6 linked regions of the Callithrix jacchus genome follow. The protein of the gene in region 4 purifies or fractionates together with the protein of the main gene of each other region. This does not show direct contact. Links are inferred from orthologs where the notes say so. Each region holds a gene or a part of one and is shown on either strand. Other genes may lie near its edges.

Evidence for each region.
Region 1: the proteins of LATS2 (region 4) and AMOTL2 purify together in Homo sapiens (affinity purification with western blotting; 3 studies listed by BioGRID). This does not show direct contact. The link is inferred for Callithrix jacchus from reciprocal best matches to the Homo sapiens genes LATS2 and AMOTL2.
Region 2: the proteins of LATS2 (region 4) and AJUBA purify together in Homo sapiens (affinity purification with western blotting; 3 studies listed by BioGRID and IntAct, with this or other methods). This does not show direct contact. The link is inferred for Callithrix jacchus from reciprocal best matches to the Homo sapiens genes LATS2 and AJUBA.
Region 3: the proteins of LATS2 (region 4) and SAV1 purify together in Homo sapiens (affinity purification with western blotting; 4 studies listed by BioGRID, with this or other methods). This does not show direct contact. The link is inferred for Callithrix jacchus from reciprocal best matches to the Homo sapiens genes LATS2 and SAV1.
Region 5: the proteins of LATS2 (region 4) and LIMD1 purify together in Homo sapiens (affinity purification with mass spectrometry; 3 studies listed by BioGRID and IntAct, with this or other methods). This does not show direct contact. The link is inferred for Callithrix jacchus from reciprocal best matches to the Homo sapiens genes LATS2 and LIMD1.
Region 6: the proteins of LATS2 (region 4) and MOB1A purify together in Homo sapiens (affinity purification with western blotting; 9 studies listed by BioGRID and IntAct, with this or other methods). This does not show direct contact. The link is inferred for Callithrix jacchus from reciprocal best matches to the Homo sapiens genes LATS2 and MOB1A.

What each region holds. Positions count from the first base shown.
Region 1 is NC_133518.1:49,808,557-49,812,644, reverse strand, and holds the start of AMOTL2 (angiomotin-like protein 2), read right to left. Parts: upstream 2,801-4,088; 5' UTR 2,678-2,800; intron 2,419-2,677; exon of another isoform or gene 1,933-2,418; intron 1,619-1,932; exon of another isoform or gene 1,577-1,618; intron 1-1,576. UniProt on the Homo sapiens protein: Regulates the translocation of phosphorylated SRC to peripheral cell-matrix adhesion sites. Required for proper architecture of actin filaments.
Region 2 is NC_133509.1:57,343,856-57,347,355, forward strand, and holds part of AJUBA (LIM domain-containing protein ajuba), read right to left. Parts: intron 2,371-3,500; coding exon 2,269-2,370; intron 1,474-2,268; coding exon 1,402-1,473; intron 631-1,401; coding exon 563-630; intron 437-562; coding exon 374-436; intron 1-373.
Region 3 is NC_133509.1:85,194,396-85,197,895, forward strand, and holds part of SAV1 (protein salvador homolog 1), read right to left. Parts: intron 1,756-3,500; coding exon 1,554-1,755; 3' UTR 1-1,553. UniProt on the Homo sapiens protein: Regulator of STK3/MST2 and STK4/MST1 in the Hippo signaling pathway which plays a pivotal role in organ size control and tumor suppression by restricting proliferation and promoting apoptosis.
Region 4 is NC_133506.1:140,650,144-140,653,643, forward strand, and holds part of LATS2 (serine/threonine-protein kinase LATS2), read right to left. Parts: intron 2,876-3,500; coding exon 2,293-2,875; intron 296-2,292; coding exon 113-295; intron 1-112. UniProt on the Homo sapiens protein: Negative regulator of YAP1 in the Hippo signaling pathway that plays a pivotal role in organ size control and tumor suppression by restricting proliferation and promoting apoptosis.
Region 5 is NC_133516.1:28,414,635-28,418,134, reverse strand, and holds part of LIMD1 (LIM domain-containing protein 1), read right to left. Parts: intron 2,995-3,500; coding exon 2,926-2,994; intron 1,148-2,925; coding exon 1,010-1,147; 3' UTR 1-1,009. UniProt on the Homo sapiens protein: Adapter or scaffold protein which participates in the assembly of numerous protein complexes and is involved in several cellular processes such as cell fate determination, cytoskeletal organization, repression of gene transcription, cell-cell adhesion, cell differentiation, proliferation and migration.
Region 6 is NC_133515.1:39,019,826-39,023,325, forward strand, and holds part of MOB1A (MOB kinase activator 1A), read left to right. Parts: intron 1-2,550; coding exon 2,551-2,717; intron 2,718-3,500. UniProt on the Homo sapiens protein: Activator of LATS1/2 in the Hippo signaling pathway which plays a pivotal role in organ size control and tumor suppression by restricting proliferation and promoting apoptosis.

The sequences.
Region 1 (4,088 bases), on a different chromosome or scaffold from region 4:
GCTTACTATTCCTGGAGAAAGACATAAGAAAACCAGAAGATAATCCACCAGGAACCACTGCCTCTATAGCCACCTACCCATCAAACAGCCTGATGAGCAATTCCAAGGCAGGCCTAGTTCAGATCTAACCACTTAGCTATTCAGTCTAGGGCTGGGTGGGGACCCAGTTTATTGGCAGGTGATACAGAAGGCATGTAGTCCAGTAGAAGCCCTAGGTGAAAGTCCTCCAGGACCCCCCCCAGAATGAAGCATGCCAGAGCCCAGCCCTGGCACAGTCAACCTACTACCCTCTAGCCCACTGAACCCCTGCCCACTTTTCTCACTCTCCCAGAACCAAAGAGCTCCTGGGGGGTGGGCCTGGGCTCTGCTTCATCAAGGGCTGCTGACAGAATGAATCCAGGACTCCCTGTCATGGGATGACCTTGGCAGTCATTCTGCAAGGTGAACAGGAAGGAGGAGGAATTGCACCTGAATTTCTGAATAAGGGATGAATAAAAAGGCTCGACAATGGTTTTGTGAGATGAGGCAGAAAGTTGCCACCCATTAAGGTCAGTGGGTCAGTCTTAGAGCTGACGGTAACTGCAAGAGAGCTCCAGGAAAAAGAAAGGATGGCACGACGTCTTTTATGATTATCCTCCCCAACACACACACATGCACGCACACACGCTACTTGGAAAAGCCCTCACTGGTCCTCTAAGCAAACAGAGGATGGGCTTTCAGCATCTTTCTTGACATCAGTGTCAAGGAAGATCATCTGGACTTGGGCTTTCTCCAACACAAATCTCCAAACTGGGATCCAGGGAAAACTAAACGGACTCCATACTGCCAAACATCCTGTGTGAACAGGCAGGGGTTGGTGGGGAGTGGGAGGAATGTGGCCCCTCCTCTGCCACAAAACTAGCCCGTGTCCTGCTTCAGTTTGGGTTATGGTATGTTGGCAGAACAGCCATTCCCAATCCTTTCCCTCTCCCCACCCCGGGCTCCAGCTGCCCAGAGCTGGGGACTGGGGTATGAGTCTGGAGGGCACCTCTGTACCAATCCTTCCTGGCACCCATTCATGCGCCCCCACACACAACGAGGGGTAGATATTGCAAGACTCCGGCGCTACCCGAGGCAAAGCAAGCAAACGGGATTTAATTCGCTCTGGAGTTTTATCTCGGGGCATTTCCTTAAGATAATTACTCTCTGGCCGACTCCCACAGAGGCTGCAAGGGAGCGGCCGGAAGGAATGCGGAGCCTTCCCGACAGATTCCGGGCGCTCCACAGTGTGCGGGGACTGGGAGCAAGGAACATCTCCAAGGCCTCGCGAATTTGTCCCGGCCAAGCCCCTCAGATTCACGACCTTTCAAATACCAAACGACCGAGCCTTAACTAAAACCTGCTTCCGCGCCCCCGGCCGCGCCCCTCTGCTGCGCTAGCGCGCTGAGCTCTCTGAAGGCTGCCTGTCTAAGCCAGCGCGCGTCGGCTGCCTTGGCCTGGGCTCCAGCTCGCCTAAGGAACCAAAGTGACAGTCTCCAAGCCGGGAGACTCTCGCACCCCAGCCAGGACTCCAGCTCCACCACGACCCCGGGCGGACCTGGATCGCCGGTGGTCGCGGGTACGCCTGGGGCTAGCCGGTGAGGGTAGCCCGTGGCCCGGAGAAGTCTTTAAGCATCGCGGGTCCGCCTCCCTCCCTCTCGAGCCCTCTTTGTTTTCCAAATACTCCAGCGCTGACGTCACCGGGCTGGACAGCAGGCTGCATTCTTTCTAGGTGAGAGCCAATTCGTGTCTCCAGAGAGGATTTTCCAAGGAAGACAAAGAGGAATTCTTGGACTAGTTGGAGGCAAAGGCACCTGTAACCCCCACCTAACCAAATCAACCCGCGAGACCCTGCAAATTGAACCCCAAGCGGCGCCTCCAGGCCTGTCCCCCGTCACCCCCACCCCGGCCTACCTGCAACCCGAAACACCGTCGCCTCTATAGAGTCTGCCCTCTCCGCTCTCCCCCAGCCCCGGGGGACCGGCGCGCTGCTAGAGCCCCGCAAAGCCAGGGGCGCTGGGCTCCCAGGCGGAGCGGCCCTTGCCTGGCACTGCGGCTGCCTCGAACGGGCGCACTACGCCCGGAGTACGCTCGATCCTCCGGGCTCCGACTCCCGGAAAAGGCCGGGCTGCGCCGAGACTCCGGCTTTGGCCGGGGCACGTCTCTGTGGCCTCGCGCGCTCTCCCCAGCGCCAAGCGGCCTTCCTTACCGCTGCGGCCCGCGGGTGCCCAGCACAGTCAGACACTGCAACCCCCGGCTCGGCCCTGCTCAGCTCGGCGGCGGAGATGTATTCTCGGCAGTGGCGCCGACGCTCTGGCAGTTCGCGCCCCAGCGCGCAGCCCCAGGGTCGGTCCGCGCTGGAGGCGGCTGTTATGCCAGGAATGTGAGAGTTTCAGGTTCCCCCTCGGGATCAAAGCGAACCACAAATAACCTCTCAGCGCGCCGCCCTCCTCCGCCCTCCGCCTCCTCCAGCTCCCTCCTCCCGTCCCCCGCCTTCCTCCCGGGAGGCGGCGCTGCTGGCTGAGCGCCGGGCCGGCCCCTGAGCTCCGTTCCTCCGCACTCAGCGCCCTCCAGGCCGCAGTGTGTCCGCCCCTGCCCCCCGCTTTGCGATCGGAGCTGCTGGAGACAATTTAATACAACTCGGCCCATTATTGCTTACACCCCTAGTCGCCGACCCGCTCTCCACCCTTCATCCCGAAACCCATCGACGGAACGATACAGCAAGGGCTGTGCCACGCTTGTCCCGGGGTTGCTGCGGGAGAGGCTCCGGCTGTGCGTGTGTGTGTAAACCGGGGGAGGGGGTAAGGGAAGAAGGACCGCAAAGACGTCTATATCCTCAGGGCTGGGAGCTTGTCCCGGGAGAAGTGAATACTTCCAGCCTCCGAGCCTCTCTTTCCCCTAACCCCCAGTGCTTTCACCCCCGCGGCAACCTTTGAATTGCACTTTTGTTTACAAACACCTTCACCAGCTCTTTTACGAACCTTCTCCACAGGAAGCGTGAATCTGTGTTGGAAAATCCTGTCAATTTGATCCATCTACCCAACCGAATCTCCCGCCGCCAGGCGCTCTGTCCACCTCTTCCCCAAGATAATAGGCGCCCCTTTACGCAGAGCGCAGGGTGTGCCACCGCCGGCTTTTCTCCCAGTCAAGCGATCCAGCCTTGCCTAGCATCCTCCAACGGAGTTCTGTTATCATCCCTGTGTTATAAATGAGGACACCAGGGCTCAGAGAGCTTAAGCAGGGTGCCCAGAGTCACACAGAAAGAACCAGACAACCAACCAGGGGCTGCTTGGGTTTTCATTCTCAAAACCCCTCCGTTGCCATCAGAATCCGGGCTCCCTAGATGGACTGGGCAGACGCCAGGAACCTTCCTCTTTCCACCTGCCCGCTCCTTGTTTTAGTCTCTTCTTTACCTCCCCCTACACCCCTGCCAGCCAGCGGCCTTCCCTTGTATCCACTTCTGTGGCTCCTGCATGGAATCTTCTTCTCTGCCCCCAGGACACTTCGTCTGCTAGGTGCAAACCCCTTCTTCAGAAAGCCTTCACTGACACACCCTGTCCCAGTTCCCACTACACAGGGCCTCTCTACAAGTCAGTTGGGCTGAAGTGGGGGCAGTCAGGCCCCTGTCCACCCAGAGAGTCAGGGCTGATTTCTTCTTCCCCTGGCTGGGTCCTCCCCTCAGCATGGAGTTTGCAATTCCCAAATTCACCGGAGGGAACCAGGGACAAGGAAACTCTGGAAGCTTAATAGCCAGGGACATTGTTAATTTTTAATAAAACTCCCACAAAAAGTGTGTGTGTGTTTTACTTGGAAGCCAAATACTGTTTCAAATAGTGATTGCATCTGAGATGATTGAGCAAATGGGTCATTTGTGAAGAGGTCTCTGGGTGGCCTTACCTTATGGACAGTGTAATTGGTGGAGGAGGGGAATGGTTGTGGACATGTGTACTCTGGGTTGTAAAATCTCGGGAAAGATCACGTCTTTCAGGCATTTGGGGGGATACCTCACAACATGTTTGACAAATATTCTTGAGATGGTTGCAGAAAGGCATCAGTTCAAGGCAGCTAGA
Region 2 (3,500 bases), on a different chromosome or scaffold from region 4:
GGCACTAGAATCGCTTGAACCTGGGAGGTGGAGGTTGCAGTGAATTGAGATCATGCCACTTACATGTCAGAGTGAGATGCTGTCTCAAAAAAAAAAAAAAAAAAAGATGCAAGACCCCACACTCCTAGCTCAGGCTGGAAGGCCTGGCTGTGCCTGCAGAATTAGGGAGGCGCCAGGTCACAGAAGCCTGGGACGACAAACTTTGGAGCCCAGACTTGATCCCAAAGGCAGAGGAAAGCCATGGTAAACAGTTGCTCTGGGGAGGAATGGGATGAAAGCCTTCTTCCCTTAACCTTCTCTCAGTATCCATTTAGTCCCTGATTCTACTCCTCAGCTGCACAGTGAGAGTCTCAGCTGAAGGCACTTTACTTACCTTCTCCAAAATCAAGTGACCACAGACACAGCATTTCTCAGCTGCCTCCTGAAACCCTGAAAACTAAAGTAAAAGACAAGACAAAGGGAGGCTGTTATCAAACTGAGGATGATGGGTGGAACTCCAATAGGCCACCAAGAAGGGAGTCAGGATGGAAACCAATTCCAGGTCCAGGTGACCCTTACTCACCAGATAATCTTCCTCACAGTACACAGAGCCATTGACACTGTAGAAAGCCTTGCAACGCAAAGTTCGTCCTAGAAACAGCAGAGAAGGGGCTGGAACCTATCCCACAGCCCAGGTGCAAGACCTCTCCCACTCTGGAGTCACTGCTCCTCAATGCTGCATAATATTTTTCAACCTGGACTTTGTGCCTGTCCTCCTAACTGATGTCTGTCCTTCCCCACACAAAAATTCCATCTGATGCAATTCCAATTTGCTTTGGCTTCATTCCAGCCAACTTCCCCTCTCCTCCCGCTCCTGCCTCCTCAACAGTTTCCTAGGGCCCTCCCCTAACAACCCTCCCCTAAACAAACTGCCTTCCTCTCCAGTGCATAGGAAGCCACCTGGGAGAGTGAAGCCAACCACATGCTGAAATACATGATAAAGGAGCTCTTAATAAGGTGCTATATGATTTGCATAGAGAGAATCACATTGTTACAGGCCTTGCCCTCTGGGATCCTTCAACCTAGAAGACTCTTTGCCTAAGCATATCTAACCTGATCTCAGAGCCCTATTTCCTTCCACGGACAGACTCCACGGAGGTGAGGACTGGAGTTACTGCAGGAGGACAAAGTGCTTGGTTTGGAAGCAAAGCAGGTCCCCTTTCCTGTTTGTATGAGGTTGCTTCCCTAAGCCTGGAGGGACCCAAAGTCTCTGGGGTAAGAGGCAACACAAGATCTTCTTCTAGCAGACAAGGCAGGACCATTCCCCATGTGACCAACACCCAGGAACTGCTCCCAGGTGTCTAAATTGTCAGGGATGGGGGAGGAGTGAGAGAACAGGTGGAGCATGAGCAATTTTCCCACCTTTTTGCCTTCTTCCCATCAAAATCCCCACCTTCAGCTGTGTCCAGTGGGTTAGGAAAGCTGACTTAGATGCTCATGAGACACAGGGGTGGAAAGAGAGGGAAAGAGATATAGTTAGAAGAGGTTCTATAAACAGAAGGGTAGACAGAGATGAGCCTAAAAACCAGGCAGAAACTGGGGGAGTGAGAAAAGCGGAGTGCTGGAGTCAGACAGGCAGATAGGAGATTAAAGGTTTAGCAAAGGAATCAGAATGGGTAAGCGGTGGGGAGGGGGTAATGAGGGAGGTGAGGGGGGGCAGTTAAGGCTGCTGGGAGCATCTCCCCTTCCCAAATGGGCCTCCAGAGCTAACAGTGGCAGGCATTCCTGGAGCGTGATGTCATCAGCTTGGCATGGCCCGGTGGCCTGCACTCTAGCGAGGTGGCTGAACTCTGACCAGCCAAGAGAAAACCCCCCTCTCCGCCCCCGACAGCTCCCCACTCCCCCAGCCTGCCCCCGCCCTCTCTACATTCCAGTCTTTCACGGTCGCCCCAGGCAACTTGGCTGCCCAAGACCAAGCCCCACCAAGAAGCTGGAGGGCCAGGCAAGTCCAGGATGGGCAAGCAGGGAAGCATGAGGGAGAAACAGAGGTGAGGAAGGAAGGAGGGACTCCAGAAAGGAGACCCACCATGGGGCAGAGAGAGCCAGGTAGAGCATAAACAGGGAAGCAAGAGGCAGAGCAGTTTCGGACCTCTAGATACTTGGTGGGGATCCAACAGCTGCTCGGTGAGCAAATGAAGAGGCACAAGCTCTCCCCCTGTTCCCCATAGCACTTGTAAGTGTGTACATGGGCAAGGGAGGGGGGTGCTTGAGTGTTGGGGCTACACTTACCACAAGAGCAGCAGACAAAGCACTGGGTGTGGTAAAGGCTGTCCAGGGCCTGGCAGGCATTGCTCTGCCCATAGATGCCTTTGTTGCACTTGATACAGGTGCCTGAGAAGAGAAAAGAGCATCACACTGTACTCCCCCAGGTCAAAACCAGGAATTCCCAAGCTTTCCTCACTACTCTTTCCTGATGTGCCAAGGGTCACAATCTCCCTTTGATGGGCTCCCTTCTGAGAAGAGAAGATAACAGGTAATGAAATACAGCAAGATCTTGGCTGAGCAGATCCACTTTTGTTTAATTACTCAACAGATACAACACCACTACCTGAGGAAACCTGGAGAAAGTTGAAGATATGGTCCCTGGCATTTAAATGCTTAGTTTCTGTTGGGGAGAAAAGACCACAAAGGCAAGGTATGATCTCTGCTGCAGTGTGTGGGACAAATGGTCAGAAATGCTGGCCCACAGCAGACTTGAAAAAACTTTCTAGAGAAAGCAGGCTAGGCCCAGAAGGCCTCTCTGGGACTTCAGTTTTTCCCATCAGTCAGACAAGCTGCTGTTCGGTTACAGAATGATTTCTCTCTGCTGCAGACTTCCAAGGATGGAGAAAAGGACCTGGCTCAGCAGAGGGCTCTGTGCAGAGAACCATGTGAGCATGACTCCTGTGGGGAGGTGGCTGCTGAGAATGCAGGGTGTGTTCCAGGAACCAGCATTGCACAGGAAAAGGGGGAGAGTGGCAAAGCCCCTGATGCCTCCCAGCCACCTTCTATCATTCGAGGAGCACAGAACTGAACTGCTTGCTCTTCCCCAAAATCCCCCGCTAAGATACATACACCTGGCTCTGGCACTCGCCTTTCTTGGGTGTGTTCTTCCCTCCCTCCACTCCCCAATTCCAGGCCCATGAGTGAGGGCTAGGGCCTGTCTTTGGGGAGCAGATCCCAACGGGCCCGCCCCACCTCTCCCCCTCGGCAGGCTGCCACACTCCTTGCCTGTTGGGGCCCATCCCAGTCTTTGCCCAGGGGCTTGGGAGCCTGTGCAGCAGCTGCAGCAACTGATGGGCCCAGGCCTGTCCTGCTCCCACCCTCTGGCAGCTGCGCAAGGCTGAAGCCAAGGAAGAGGGCCCCTACTCGGGGCAGGAAAAGGAGGGTACAGTCAAGCTGGGGCTGGGGGACACAAGGGGTATGTTGGGGTTCTGTCAAAGGAAGCAACCTAACCCCCAGGGAGAAGGAGCCCCCATCTC
Region 3 (3,500 bases), on a different chromosome or scaffold from region 4:
GAGAAAAATTATGAAGGAAATATGTGGTTTTAAAGTCCTGTGACAAATGCTTAGAAGATTAAAAAGTAATAATATAAAATCAATTTAATGACCAACATTTTTTTTTGAATCCCTGATTGTCATTTTTGGTAGCTCAATCCAGTCTGTCAGAAGGCAGTACGCTATGCTGTCAGGAACTCTCCACTGTCTCATCAGAGCCATGCTAAATGCAGTAACAGCCCTGGCTGAAAATACCAAAGTTGATTTTAGCAACTTTGAGTTTCACACACCTTCCTCAAACAGGCTAGGTACTTATGCTTATATGTACTCCTGAAAGATCAAAATGCCCATCACCCATTCATAATAAAAAGTATTTTCTCGGCCGGGCGCGGTGGCTCAAGCCTGTAATCCCAGCACTTTGGGAGGCCGAGGCGGGTGGATCACGAGGTCAAGAGATCGAGACCAACCTGGTCAACATGGTGAAACCCCGTCTCTACTAAAATACAAAAAATTAGCTGGGCATGGTGGCACGTGCCTGTAATCCCGGCTACTCAGGAGGCTGAGGCAGGAGAATTGCCTGAACCCAGGAGGCGGAGATTGCGGTGAGCCGAGATCGCGCCATTGCACTCCAGCCTGGGTAACAAGAGCGAAACTCCGTCTCAAAAAAAAAAAAAAAAAAAAAAGTATTTTCTCAACATGCTTTAAAAGGCTTCCTTACTTTGTTTTTATTTCTTTCTTTATTTTTTGAGACAAGGACTGGCTCTCTCACCCAGGCTGCAGTGCAAGTGGTACAATCTTGACCCTGCAGCCTCTGCCTCTCGGGCTCAAGCCATCCTCTGACCTCAGCCTCCCAAGTAGCTGAGACTACAGGAATGCACCATCATACCTAGCTAATGTTTTTTTTGTATTTTTTGTAGAGATGGGGTTTCATCATGTTGCCCAGGCTGGTCTCAAACTGGTGAGCTCAAGAGATCCATCCACCTCGGCTTCCCAAAGTGCTGGGATTACAGGTATGAGCCACCATGTCCCCTATCTGGGTCCCTTACTTTGGAGGAGGGAAGACAAACATACATCATATATAAATATTTATCACAATAAGGCTTCAAATCCTATTTTATATTTAAACTACCTCATGGTAATATTTAAACCATCCCTTTCCAGAAAATATTTCACACTAGAGCGGTAAACATTTTTTTTTAAATACTGCAGATTCTTTTTTTTTTTTTTTTTAAAGAAAGGTACTACTGCTATAAGAAGTTAACAAGTGATAATTTCCTATTTAACATTTGTTCATAATGACATTTCCTGCTGCATTTTTTCCATCCAATACCAAAGCAGTTTCCTAATATATAGCACTTGAAAGTGTTTGCCATATTGGCTCTTAAAATGATAGACTAATTTTTCTTGTTCAATAAAAGAAAATTTCTAATAACAAAATACATGTAAAGTTAGAATTTTATAATTTCCACAAAGGAAGCTGTGTTTATTAACCAAAGTACTTGTTTGCTATTTTCTATCTGTGAAAATATTTTAAAGCTCTTATAAAACTTAAATTTTATTTTTAAAAAATCAGCTCAAAAATTTTTTCCATGTTGTTGGGCATACCACTGCTGTCTCTGCTTTCGGTTTTCTAGCTCTGTAAGAAGAGCTTGTCTGTATGCTTCATACATCTTAACAATCTGCTCCAGTTCTTTCATGAAGAGCAACTTTAGCATTCCCTGGTATGTATCCAGGTCAGCCAGCTGGAAGAGTTCCCACTTCAGAATGTGGTCATATCTGTTTTAAAACACAAGCATATATATGTTCACAACACATACATAAACATCTATTTCTAGCAAGAAACTAGTCTGTTTTTTAAAATGTCAACTTTATTTATAACTAAACAAACCATAAGCTTTAATTAAAAATAACTGAGTAGCTGGGCACAGTGGTGGCACCTGTAGTCCTAGCTACTTGGGAGGATGACGTGGGAGGATTGCTGTGCCTAAGAGTTTGAGGCCAGCCTGGGCAACATAGCAAGACCCCATTTCTAAAAATAAATACATCAGTTTTTCTAAAAAACTGAGTTAACTGCTATTTACATATAATTTTTTTTTTAGGGAAAGGAGAAAACTGCTAATATTACTTCATTTCAATTTAAGTTAAAGAATATCTATTTCTTTAAATTATCAATTATTCTAATATTAACACTAGATAACCATCAACACAGATTTCACACTACAGTGTTTCTGTAATTTCTGAAGAACATATTGTGTGCTCTTTATAAGTTCATCAAAAGTTATTTGTCAGGAACTTAAGAATACTTTAGACCACACTGTGCCTGTAAATGATAATGTACAAAAATGGGTGGTCCATTCATGTTGATGGATCTTTCTGAGGAATGCTATTTGCAACAGCAAACAAGGAACAAGACAGAAGAAGAAATGAAGAGGAAGCATCATTTGTGGCCTCTAAGTACTCCTGAGGCTGAGTACAACAGGAAAACTCAAGAAGGAAAGAATAAACTGTTTTTAAAATGAGAGACTAAGCAGACTGTAGAAGGCTTCACAGTGTAGTGAAGGATTCCCAAATGTATCGTAGAAGACCATTAGTAGTCTTTCAGTGGTAAGTAGATCGCTGCATAGCAATAGTACCTTTAGTAGTTGCCTACACAGTCCCATTTCAGTATAGGATGAAGACAGCACTCTAATTCATATTCTCATTTAAAGATGAAAAACACCAAAACCTAAAGAAGCTCTTTACCTCTTGCAAAAGTGTTTAGTGAATAAAAGTTCAGAAAGGCAGAGAACTTGGACCAACATGATTCAAAGTAGTGGTTTTGAATGTTAATATCCACTAAGACTAAAGAACTTGAATTAGGGAAAGGCAAGTTGTACCTGAAGTTATACCTCTCAAATCATATTGCAGAGCAGATATAATAGGAAGCTTTGATTGCAAACTCTAGTATTATTTATTATTACTTTTTTTTTTGAGAGAGAGAGAGTCTCGCTCTGTCACCAGGCACCAGGCTGGAATGCAGTGGCGCAATCTCGGCTCACTGCACCCTCCACCTCCCAGGTTCAAGCAATTCTCCTGCCTCAGCCTACAGGCGCACGCCACCATGCCCAGCTAATTTTTTTGTATTTTTAGTACAGACAGGGTTTTACCATGTTGGCCAGGATGGTCTCAATCTGTTGACCTCGTGATCTGCCTGCCTCGGCCTCCCAAAGTGCTGGGATTACAGGCTTGAGCCACTGTGCCTGGCCGATTCTAGTATTATTTTTAATGATCATTTATAATATTTCCTACCCAGTGGTTCTTTGATATTTATCATACCATTTTCTTTCAAAAGGACTATCTAATAATTTTAAATGAGATTTTTAAAAAAGGGAGACACTGGCTCAAGAGTCCTGATTTTAAAAAAAAGGAAAAAAACAAACAAAAAAAGGAGACAGAAAACATACTGAGCAGTTAGTGGGAGCTACTATACTTGGCATTTTGACATGTTTCTCTCCTACTTAAGCATATGTAACAGAAATGTC
Region 4 (3,500 bases):
CAAAAGTATGACTGGAAGCATTAGGCGCTTGGATAGCTAGAGCTGGGAGACTCGGCTCACAGGTCTGAAGGGAAGCAGACCTCCCATGGGGTGGCTGGTGTGGCACACATACCTTTGCGGAGGAGCACCTCAGGTGCGATGTAGTTTGGGGTTCCCACCAGGGAATGTGCCAAGCATCTCTGGTGCTGCTTCCGCGCCCTCTGCTCCAGGGTCTTCAGCCTGTCCCCACACCGACAGTTAGACACGTCGTCCCAGAGGTCACTGGGCTCCATGCTGTCCTGTCTGACATGGTTCCCTTCACCCAAGAATCAGGGGTGGTAAAAGAAGAGAACAAAACATAAAGTGAATTTTCACTCTTCAATACCTCAACAAATCAACAGCTTAAAACAGAAAAGTCGTTCCAATTAGCTCCTGACACATCAGGACAGAGAATCCCCCAAGCTGCTCTGTAGAGGAAGCCTGCTGTTCCTAGTTCAGAGACATACGTGGTAAGGTCAGCGCTAGCACTGAGGTAGAAACTACGGCGAGGAACCACAGGAAACCACACATCGTGCTGAGCTAGCAGGGAGGTACTGCAGGCAGGAAACGCTGGAAGAACTGCCGGGACAGCACCCCTAGCACTCAGGCCACAATCAAAAGGTAACATCTGCCTGACACACATTTTACGATGAGCATGGAAACCTTAGGAAGATTTAAACAACAAGAACAAAGGTGACTTCAATGCCAAAAAATAGGAGTGAATTAAATGATTTAGAGTTGGTTTTCAGTTAGGAAAAAAAAGGCTAAGTGATGATATTCAAATAACTATTTCAAGAATCGAGCCACAAAGAAGATAATAACCAGCTGTTTTTGGCTTTTCCAAATGGCAGAATTACAGGAAATGAAGTTAAATGATAAACACTACACAGATTCAGGTTAGCTATAAAAGAGGACTCCTTGGGAGGCTGTGGATCTTATCTTTTTATGTATGTATGTATGTATTTATTTATTTTTTAAATTTTTTAATTTTTTTTTTTTAGTAGAGACAGGGTTTCACCATGTTGACCAGGATGGTCTCGATCTCTTAACTCGTGATCTATCCGCCTCGGCCTCCCAAAGTGCTGGGTTACAGGGTATTTATTTATTTATTCGAGACAGCATTTCACTCTTGTTGCCCAGGCTGGAGGGCAATGGCACGATCTCGGCTCACCGCAACCTCCGCCTTCCGGATTCAAGCAGTTTTCCTGCCTCAGCCTCCTAAGGCATGTGCCTTGACACCCGGGTACTTTTGTATTTTTAGTAGAGACAGGGTTTCTCTGTGTTGGTCAGGCTGGTCTTGAACTCCCGACCTCAGGTGATATGCCTGCCTTGGCCTCTCAAAGTTCTGGGATTATAGGTGTGAGCCACCACGCCTAGCTGAATCTTTTATTTTTTAAGGCTTCCTTTAATGAGGCAGATGATGGTTCCCCACAAAGGCTCTGTGACACCTTGTAGCCTATCGTCTTAAAAATACAGTAGGCGGACACAGTGACCGAGGTGGGCAGATCACCTGAGGTCAAGAGTTCGAGACCAGCCTAACCAACATGGGAGAAACACCATCTCTAATAAAAATACAAAATCAGGCCGGGCGTGGTGGCTCACGCCTATAATCCCAGCACTTTGGGAGGCTGAGGCAGGTGGATCACGAGGTCAAGAGATCGAGACCATCCTGGTCAACAAGGTGAAACCCCGTCTCTACTAAAAATACAAAAATTAGCTGGGCATGGTGGCGTGTGCCTGTAGTCCCAGCTACTAGGGAGGCTGAGGCAGGAGAATTGCTTGAACCCAGGAGGTGGAGGTTGCGGTGAGCCAAGATCGTGCCATTGCACTCCAGTCTGGGTAACAACAGCGAAACTCTGCCTCAAAAATAAATAAATATAAAAATACAAAATTAGCTGGGTGTGGTGGTGCATGCCTGTAATTCCAGCTACTCAGGAGGCTGAGGCAGGAGAATCACTTGAACCCAGGAGGCAGAGGTTGCAGTGAGCCGAGATAGCGCCACTGCACTCCAGCCTGGGCAACAAGAGCAAAACTCCATCTCAAAAAAAAAAAAAAAAAAAAAAAAAAAAGGAAACCTGAAATCTACTAACTTAAACAAATGTATATATCATACTATTCCTTTGGGAAGGGAAGGACGTCACACCAAATTATAATAGTGGAGTGACAGATAATTTCAAAATGACTAGGAACTATCAGCATGGGAAATTTAGTTGCCTGCGATGGGTTAGTGACATCTACACATAGGAAGTACATGTGGCACGCTTAAGACAATACCTTTCTGGTAATATTTGGAATTGTGAGTCCACCTGAACCCAGTGCAGAGGCCGAAATCTGTGAGTTTAATGTGACCATCCAGATCTATCAAAATGTTGTCAGGCTTGATGTCTCGGTGGATGAAGCCCATCTTGTGGACACTCTCAATGGCCAAAGTCAGCTCTGCGATATAGAACCTGGCCAGGTGCTCAGGGAAGACCTCCATCCGGATCAGCAGGCTCATCATATCCCCGCCAGGGATGTAGTCCATCACAAAGTACAGGCTGTCTTTGTCTTGGAAGGAGTAGTAGAGTTTCACTACCCACTCGTTGTCTGCCTCAGCCAGGATGTCCCTCTCGGCCTTGACGTGGGCCACCTGATTACGGTTCAGGACATCCTTCTTCCTCAGGGTCTTCATGGCGTACAGCGCATGAGTGTCCACCTTACAAGCAAGGCACACTTCCCCAAAGGCTCCGATGCCCAGGGTTTTGATTTTCACAAACATAGACTTGTCCATCTTGGCCCTCTTTAGCCTGTTGTAATTAGACTCTTTCTGGTAGAGGATCTTCCGCATCTGTTCCTGCTCAGCTTCACAGAGTCCAGCCTGTGTAGAAGGCAAAGAAGAAGGAAGATTCATATTAGAGAAGTCCCATGATAACAAATGACTGGGATGGGGATGTCCTGGAACTGAGAGGAAACTAACTCATTTTATAGAAAGGAGAACAGAGAAATATGGGTCTCATGTACTACAAAGAAAGGTAATGACTGGTTTTGTTTCGTTTTTGAGATGGCATCTCACTCTGTTGCCCAGGCTGGAGTGTAGTGGCATAATCTTAGCTCACTGCATTCTCCCTCCCAGGTTCCAGTGATTCGCCTGTCTCAGCCTCCCAAGTAGCTGCAACTATATGTGCACACCACCACACCCGGCTAATTTTTTTGCTGTTGTTGTTTTGCTTTGAGGTCTCCCCGTCACCCAGGCTGGAGTGCAATGGTGTGACCTTGGCTCACTGCAACCTCTGCCCCCCAGGTTCAAGCAATTCTCCTGCCTCAGTCTCCGGAGTAGCTGGGATTACAGGTACGTACCACCATGCCTGGCTAATTTTTTGTATCTTTACTACAGACGGGGTTTCACCATGTTAGCTGGCTGGTCTCGAACTCCTGACCTTGTGATACACCTGCCTCAGCCTCCCAAAGTACTGGGATTACATGCATGAGCCACCGTGCCCGGC
Region 5 (3,500 bases), on a different chromosome or scaffold from region 4:
AAGCGCTCCCTCCCACGCTGGCTTAGAGATCTCACACACACAAAACTCTCCTTGTCTATATGGAGCTGTCTCTCAGTATGTGTGCAGTTCTTCCCAAAAGCCCGTCATTAAATAAGCTACAAACAGGTGCAAGCGATGTACCTGCATGGGTTCCTGAGACTTGCCTTGCAGAAGTGGCTCTAAGTCACCGACTCTTGAGAACGCCAGAGAAAAACAGCGCAAACAGGTGGGCAAAAACAAAAACAAAAAATCCTGGTGCCTGCACCAAGTTCTTCTCCCAAAGCATGTTTTACTCACACAGGGCAAATTTCTGTCCCGGCCTCAGCTGCCTTTAGGAGGATAAGGGTTTGCAGGGGCACAGGGAATGCTGTCAGTGTCTGAGGAGGAAACCCTGCCTCACTTATTTGAAATCTTGCCTCTGGTTTTCTAAGCAAATTCTTCTTGGGATACAAAGCACATATTAGAGCTTCCTTCTTGCCTTAATGCAATGAAATTTGCAGCCATTCTGCAGAAGAACCAAAGCTCTTGGGTGAAAAGAAGCCTTAAATTATGTCACGATATGTATGGGGGGAGGGGCATTTGGGTATAGGTATTTTCCTGAAGGAAGAGAAAGGGTTGAATGTATTGGCAGCTGAGCTGTCCCTTCAAGGGGATATTGTGAAACAAGCTCAACAAAAACCTCTCCCTCTGCAGCATGAAATGTTCCCAGCGAGGACAGGATTCCTTTGTTGCAATGATGTAACCTTATGTCATATGCTACGCACATCTGGAGCGTTTTCCTGAGTAACCTGAGGAAAATGTGGCAACAGAGAAAAGCACTTGGAAAATACACGTAGCAGGCAGGTAGTGTTCACCTTCCTGGTTAAAGGAAAGACACCCCACACATACAGGAACTCTCCCTCCCGCCCCTCCTCTTTCCCTACCCCACTTCCACCCCAGGGGCCACCAGAAGCAGCAGCAGCAACCCTGGCTCCTCATCCCCTGCCGTGAAGCCTGCAAGAGGCTCTGGCTAGAAGTGGTGCTGGTGAAGGGCTGTGGACGAGGTTCTCTTCTCCAGCCTCTTCACGTGGCAGGAGTGACAGAACAGGTGATCCTCCAGCGGATAACAGCGATGGCCATCTTCATCATTGAGCTCCAGACCACAGTCCTGGGGAGAGGCAGACATGTCCAGGGGAAGCAAAACGAAACAGACTGCAAGACTGACACGAAGGCCACAGTCCCCAAAATCAGCAGAGGGTTCTGTGTGTTTCTGAACAGGCAGGAAACACTGGTGCAGAAACGCAGCTCCTGCCCAGTAGAGGCCTGTCCAACACAGGAGACACAGCCACACAGCACTTGCTGTGACCCACTTAAGATGTGCTGTAGTGTAAACGCACACCAGATTCCTAAAACTTAGGACAAAAAGAGGATGTGAAAATATCTCATGGGGAAAAAGAATGAGATTGTGTCCCTTCCAGGGACATGGGTGAAGCTGGACACCATCATCCTCAGCAAACCAACACAGGAACAGAAAACTAAACACTATGTTCTCACTCATAAGTGAGAACACACTGACACAGAGAGGGGAATAACACACACCAGGGCCTGTAGGGGGGAGGAATGAGGGGAGGGAACCTAGAGGATGGGACAATAGATATAGCAAACCACCATGGCACACATATACTTACGTAACAAACCAGCAGGCTCTGTACATGTATCTCATTTTTTTTAGAAGAATAAATTGTGGAATTACAAAAAAAAAAATCTCATGGGTAATTTTTTATGCTGATTACATGTTCAAAAGATAACATTTATAATTTTTTTTTGTTTTTTTGAGACAGAGTCCCCCTCTGTCACCAAGGCAAGAGTGCAGTAGTGTGCTCTCAGCTCACTGCAATCTCTGCCTCCCGGTTCAAGCAATTCTCCTGCCTTAGTCTCCTGAGTAGCTGGGATTACATAAGTGCCACCATGCCTAGCTAATTTTTGTATTTTTACTAGAGATGGGGTTTCACCATGTTGGCCAGGCTGGTCTTGAACTCCTGACCTCAAGCGATCCGCCAGCCTTGGCCTCCCAAAGTGCTGGGATTACAGGCATTAGCCATCGTGCCTGGCCCCTTATATTTGTTTTGGACAGCACTGGTCTAGAAAATGTGGAGAGACCTGTTGAGCAAATGTCCTCACCTTTTTCTCCTGCAGTGGTGACCTGGGGCACCTGAGGTCCCAGCAGCAATGATTCCCACCCATTTCTTCAGTGTTAGCAGCAGGACCATTCTATATGAGGGACACCCCGTTCTCTCTACCCACAAAGTCACCAAATGAATCTAATATCCTTCTGTGGGTAAATTCACTTAGTTGTGGCTGAAATTCCACGGTCACCCTTCACAAGGGCTGGTGAGGGCCGACCCCTAGCTTTCCTGATAGTCATGAGGTACTAGTGCTCCTTCATCCTGGGTTGGGACACAGGGCAGGAAGGGGCAGGTGGACCCCACCCACCTACACACCACTCAGCTGTCATGCCTGTTTCCAAGAGGGGCTTCATGATTTCCAGGGCTCTGCTGAGAGGGGCTTCTGGCAGATAGAACAGCCTGCAAGCTGGAGGGGAGGGAGTCTCTTCCCCAAATCGCACACCTGCCTGACAATGTGGCCTCCATACAGGGCCTGAAACCCATGCTTTCCACGACCCTCCTAGTTCTGCAGCTTCAGGGAGAGCAGCTCCAACAACTGCAGGACTTGATAGTTCTGAACGTGCAGAAGACCTTTCTACCTTGAGCATTTCCATCATCTCCTACCTCCTCCAAGAACCAGCCTTCACCCCACTTCCTACAGCAGCTCTAGAGGGCTGACACTTGCCAGAATCTCATTGACCACCTCCTGCCCCAGTCAGTGCAGAATGCTTTCTTTCGGACTTCTATGATGGGCCCTGGGTATGGGTGGGGAGGCACTTACCTCACAGTGGTAACACTCCACGTGGTAGTCTCTGTCCATGGACACAACACGGATGGTCTCGTCTGAGCCCTGGGACCAAAGAAAAGCAAGAACACGCAGGAGAGGCCTGTGAGGGGGCCTGTTGGACTTGATGTACTGCAGCGTGGGGAGGGAAGAGGGTTTGGGGGTAGTAGGTAGGTGGCCCTGGGAGGAGACTATAAATCAGCAGTACTTGTGGGAAAAAGAGTACATTTAAGCTGATGAGAGGGGAAGTGGGAGGGACAGAAGCCCTTCCTTCTGGAATGTCAGAGTCAACAATGAAAGAAAGACTTACATGGACATTTATTTTTTAAAATGAGTAAAGACAAGCCTCTCTGCTCATCTGCTAATCTTAGAATTAGTATCAAGTAAGGGAGTTTGACCTGATTATGGGGAAAAACCAGCATGAGAAGGGTACTGGGTTGGGGAAGCCAGGCAACAAGGAAGGGTGAGGACACCACTTATCTCAGAGGTGAGGTACAGTTTTATTGGTTTGTTTCTTTGAGACAAGGTCTTGCTCTGTCACCCAGGCTGGAATGCAGTAGCACCATCATAGC
Region 6 (3,500 bases), on a different chromosome or scaffold from region 4:
TGGCAAGCTCTTGACTCACTGCAACCTCTGCCTCCTGGGTTCAAGTGATTCTCCTGCCTCAGCCTCTAGAGTAGCTGGGATTACAGGCTTGTGCCACCACACCCAGCAAATTTTTTAAAAAATATTTTTAGTAGAGACAGGGTTTCACCCTGTTGGCCAGGATGGTCTCTATCTCCTGACCTCATCATCTGCCCACCTCAGCTGGGATTTTCTTTAATCCTTTACTGATAAGCTTTAGGATTCCTTGGAGGTTTTTCACTATTAAAAACAATTCTGGAAAACAAATCCTTATCCATATCTAGAGAAGATTTTTAGAAGTAGAATGGGTGGCTTGAGGATCTTTTCAGTGTTAATAGATACTACCATATTGCCCTCCCAAAGGTTATACTTTATACTTTCACCAATAGTATATTAAAGTACTAGCTTCTCTGTACCCACTTCCAGCAGTCTCCAACATTTTTGGCACCAGGGACCGGTTTCGTGGAAGACAGTTTTTCACAGATCTGGTTGGGGGGATGGTTTCCGGATGATTCAAATGCATTACACTGAGTGTGCACTTTATTTCTATTACATTGTAATATATAATGAATAATTACACAAGTCACCATAATGTAGAATCAGTGGGAACTCTGAGCAACTAGATGGTCCCATCTGGGGGTAATGGGAGAGAGTGACAGATCATCAGGCATTAGATTCTCATAAAACACATGTAGTTTAGATCCCTTGCATGCACAGTTCACAATAGGGTTCACACTCCTGTGAGACAGGAGGTGGAGCTTAGGTGGTAATGACAGCAATGGGGAGTGGCTGTAAATATGGGTGAGGCTTTGCTGCTTGCTCACTGCTCACCCACATTTGTGGGGCCTGGTCTGTGGCTCTGGGGTTAGAAGCCCCTGCCCTATTCCACATTTAATGTAATCATTTTAACTTTTGCCACTCAGATTAGGGAAAAAATAAATCTTACTTTAACTGAACAGTTTTTTACATGCTCATTGATTGTCATACTTTTACTGAATTGCGTATTCATCTCCTTAGCCTATTTTTCCAAAGGATTCCTTATATTTTTAGTGAGTTATAGAAGCCCTCTATTACCGGTTCATCCTTTGTAATATATGTTACAAGTACCTTTTTTTGGTTACTTGTCTTTTTGCTCTGTTATGGAAGTTTTAATTGATACTGTTTGAAATCTGTCAATTTTTTTCTTTGAGGTTTCTGAGTTTTGTGTCATGTTAGGAAGACTTTATGGATGGTGTCAGATAGGAATAAAAATATTTTTTTCCTCAGTAATGAATTATGGCTGTCTCATTTATTTTCCCAGTTATAAACTTAAAGATGTTAGTGTTTCTTTTACTGTGGTTTGCTTTCAAGGCATCCCAAATATTTTAATATAGAAAACTGGATTTTTGAATTAAACCTCCCTGCACCATTTTCTTTCTATCTCTCCCATCCCTCATGAAGCCTTGCTATGTTGTCCTGGCTAGTCTTGAACTCCTGGGCTCAACCAATCATCCCAACGTGGTCTCTCAAACTGCTGGGATTACAGGTGCGAGCCTCTCACTGCACTTGGCACCACCATTTTCTATAGGTGAAAATTGAGGCCAGGCACAGTAGCTCATGCCTGTAATTCCAGCATTTTGGGAGGCTGAGGCAGGTGGAGCACTTGAAGTCAGGAGTTCAAGACCAGCCTGGTCAACATGGCACTATCCCATGTCCACTTAAAAAAATAATAATAATAATTAGCTGGGCGTGGTGGTGGCTCCTATAATTCCAGCTACTTGGGAGGCTGAGGCAGGAGAATTGCTTGAATCCTGGAGGTGAAGGTTGCAGTGAGCCAGGATCACATCACTACCTTCCAGCCTGGGTGACAGAGTAAGACTTCATCTCAAACAAAAAAAACGGAAATTGAGGCCAAAAGAAGGTTTAGCTTCTCAAGAAGACATAGTTGGTGTCAGATCAACAACTAAATCTCAGATTTTCCTTTGGTTAAACTACCCTCTCTGTACCAGACTTCTTCAGAGGGTATAGTGAAATTGCCTTATTTGTGAAATTGTGCTGGTAATCTTGCTTTTATGTGCAGGGGAAAAAAAAGCATTCTTTTATTGTGATCATCATCTTCCTATCTTGGCATTTTTCAGAGCGTATGCTTTTTTGTTTCTTTTTTTTTTTTTGAGACAGAGTCTCGCTGTGTTTCACAGGCTGGAGTGCGGTGGCGCGATCTCGGCTCACTGCAGCCTCTGCCTCCTGGGTTCAAGTGATTCACCTGTCTCAGTCCCCCGAGTAGCTGAGACTACAGGCATGCGCCACCATACTCAGCTAATTTTTGTATTTTTAGTAGAGACAGCTTTCGTCATGTTGTTCAGGCTTGTCTTGAACTCCTTACCTCAGGTGATCACAAAGTGCTGAGATTATAGGCATGAGCCACTGTGCCTGGCCCAGATAGTATTTTTTATTTTATTTTAACAGACCACTTTATATGTCTAAAATTATGTTGTTCTACCTGTTGTATTTCCAGTCTTAAAAAGTCACATGCTTTCACTTTTAACCTTACAGCAGCAGCCGCTCTTCTAAAACATTCAAACCAAAGAAGAATATCCCTGAAGGATCTCATCAGTATGAACTCCTAAAACATGCAGAAGCAACTCTAGGAAGTGGGAATCTGAGACAAGCTGTTATGTTGCCTGAGGGAGAGGATCTCAATGAATGGATTGCTGTAAACAGTAAGTTTTAAAATGCAACTTTGCTGTTTTACAGAAAGGTTTTGCTAAAATCTCTTGGTTAATGAATTTTCTTTGACAGAGATAACTGGTTTAATATAACAGATTATCTGTAAAGAAACATTAAGTACAAATATATCCAAAACTATGTTGTTCTTTTCAGAGTACTTGGTGGTAGCTTGTAAGGTTGACTAGAGGGACCTGAGAAGAAATGATGAGTGCTTTTGGGCAGTTTCTGAGGAGAGTAGTATGAAAAGCTGAGTATGGTCAAATAAAGATTGATAAATGAAAAGATTATGCATGTCATGGTCTGTGACTTTGTAGTGAATCCGTCTATACAGTTTTTCTTCCACTCCCAGCAGTACTCATCAGCCTGTATATCCAGAAAAGTCAGTTGCAGTTCATATGGCCAGTCAGTTGATAGTTGTGACTTAGAGTGTCAGAGGGAATTGAGAGATTGGGAGAAAATGGAGGGATCTGAGCTGAAAGTCACTTTGAGTTCAAGAGAACGAAGGCATGACATGGGACAATATGCTAAGGCTAGAAATTTGCATGTGAGAGTCTCTCATTTTTGAGATGAGATCATTTCTGGGTGATAAAGTTTAAATTAGGAATTTCAGCTGTTCCGGGAACGTTTAAAACTTTTTAATGGAAAATTTCAAACATACAGAAGTAGAGAGACTTAAGTACAGTGAATTCCAAGTATTCATTCCATTATCCAGCTCCAGCAAATATCAATTTGTGACCAGTTATGCTACATCTGTATGCCACCTTGATTATTTTAAG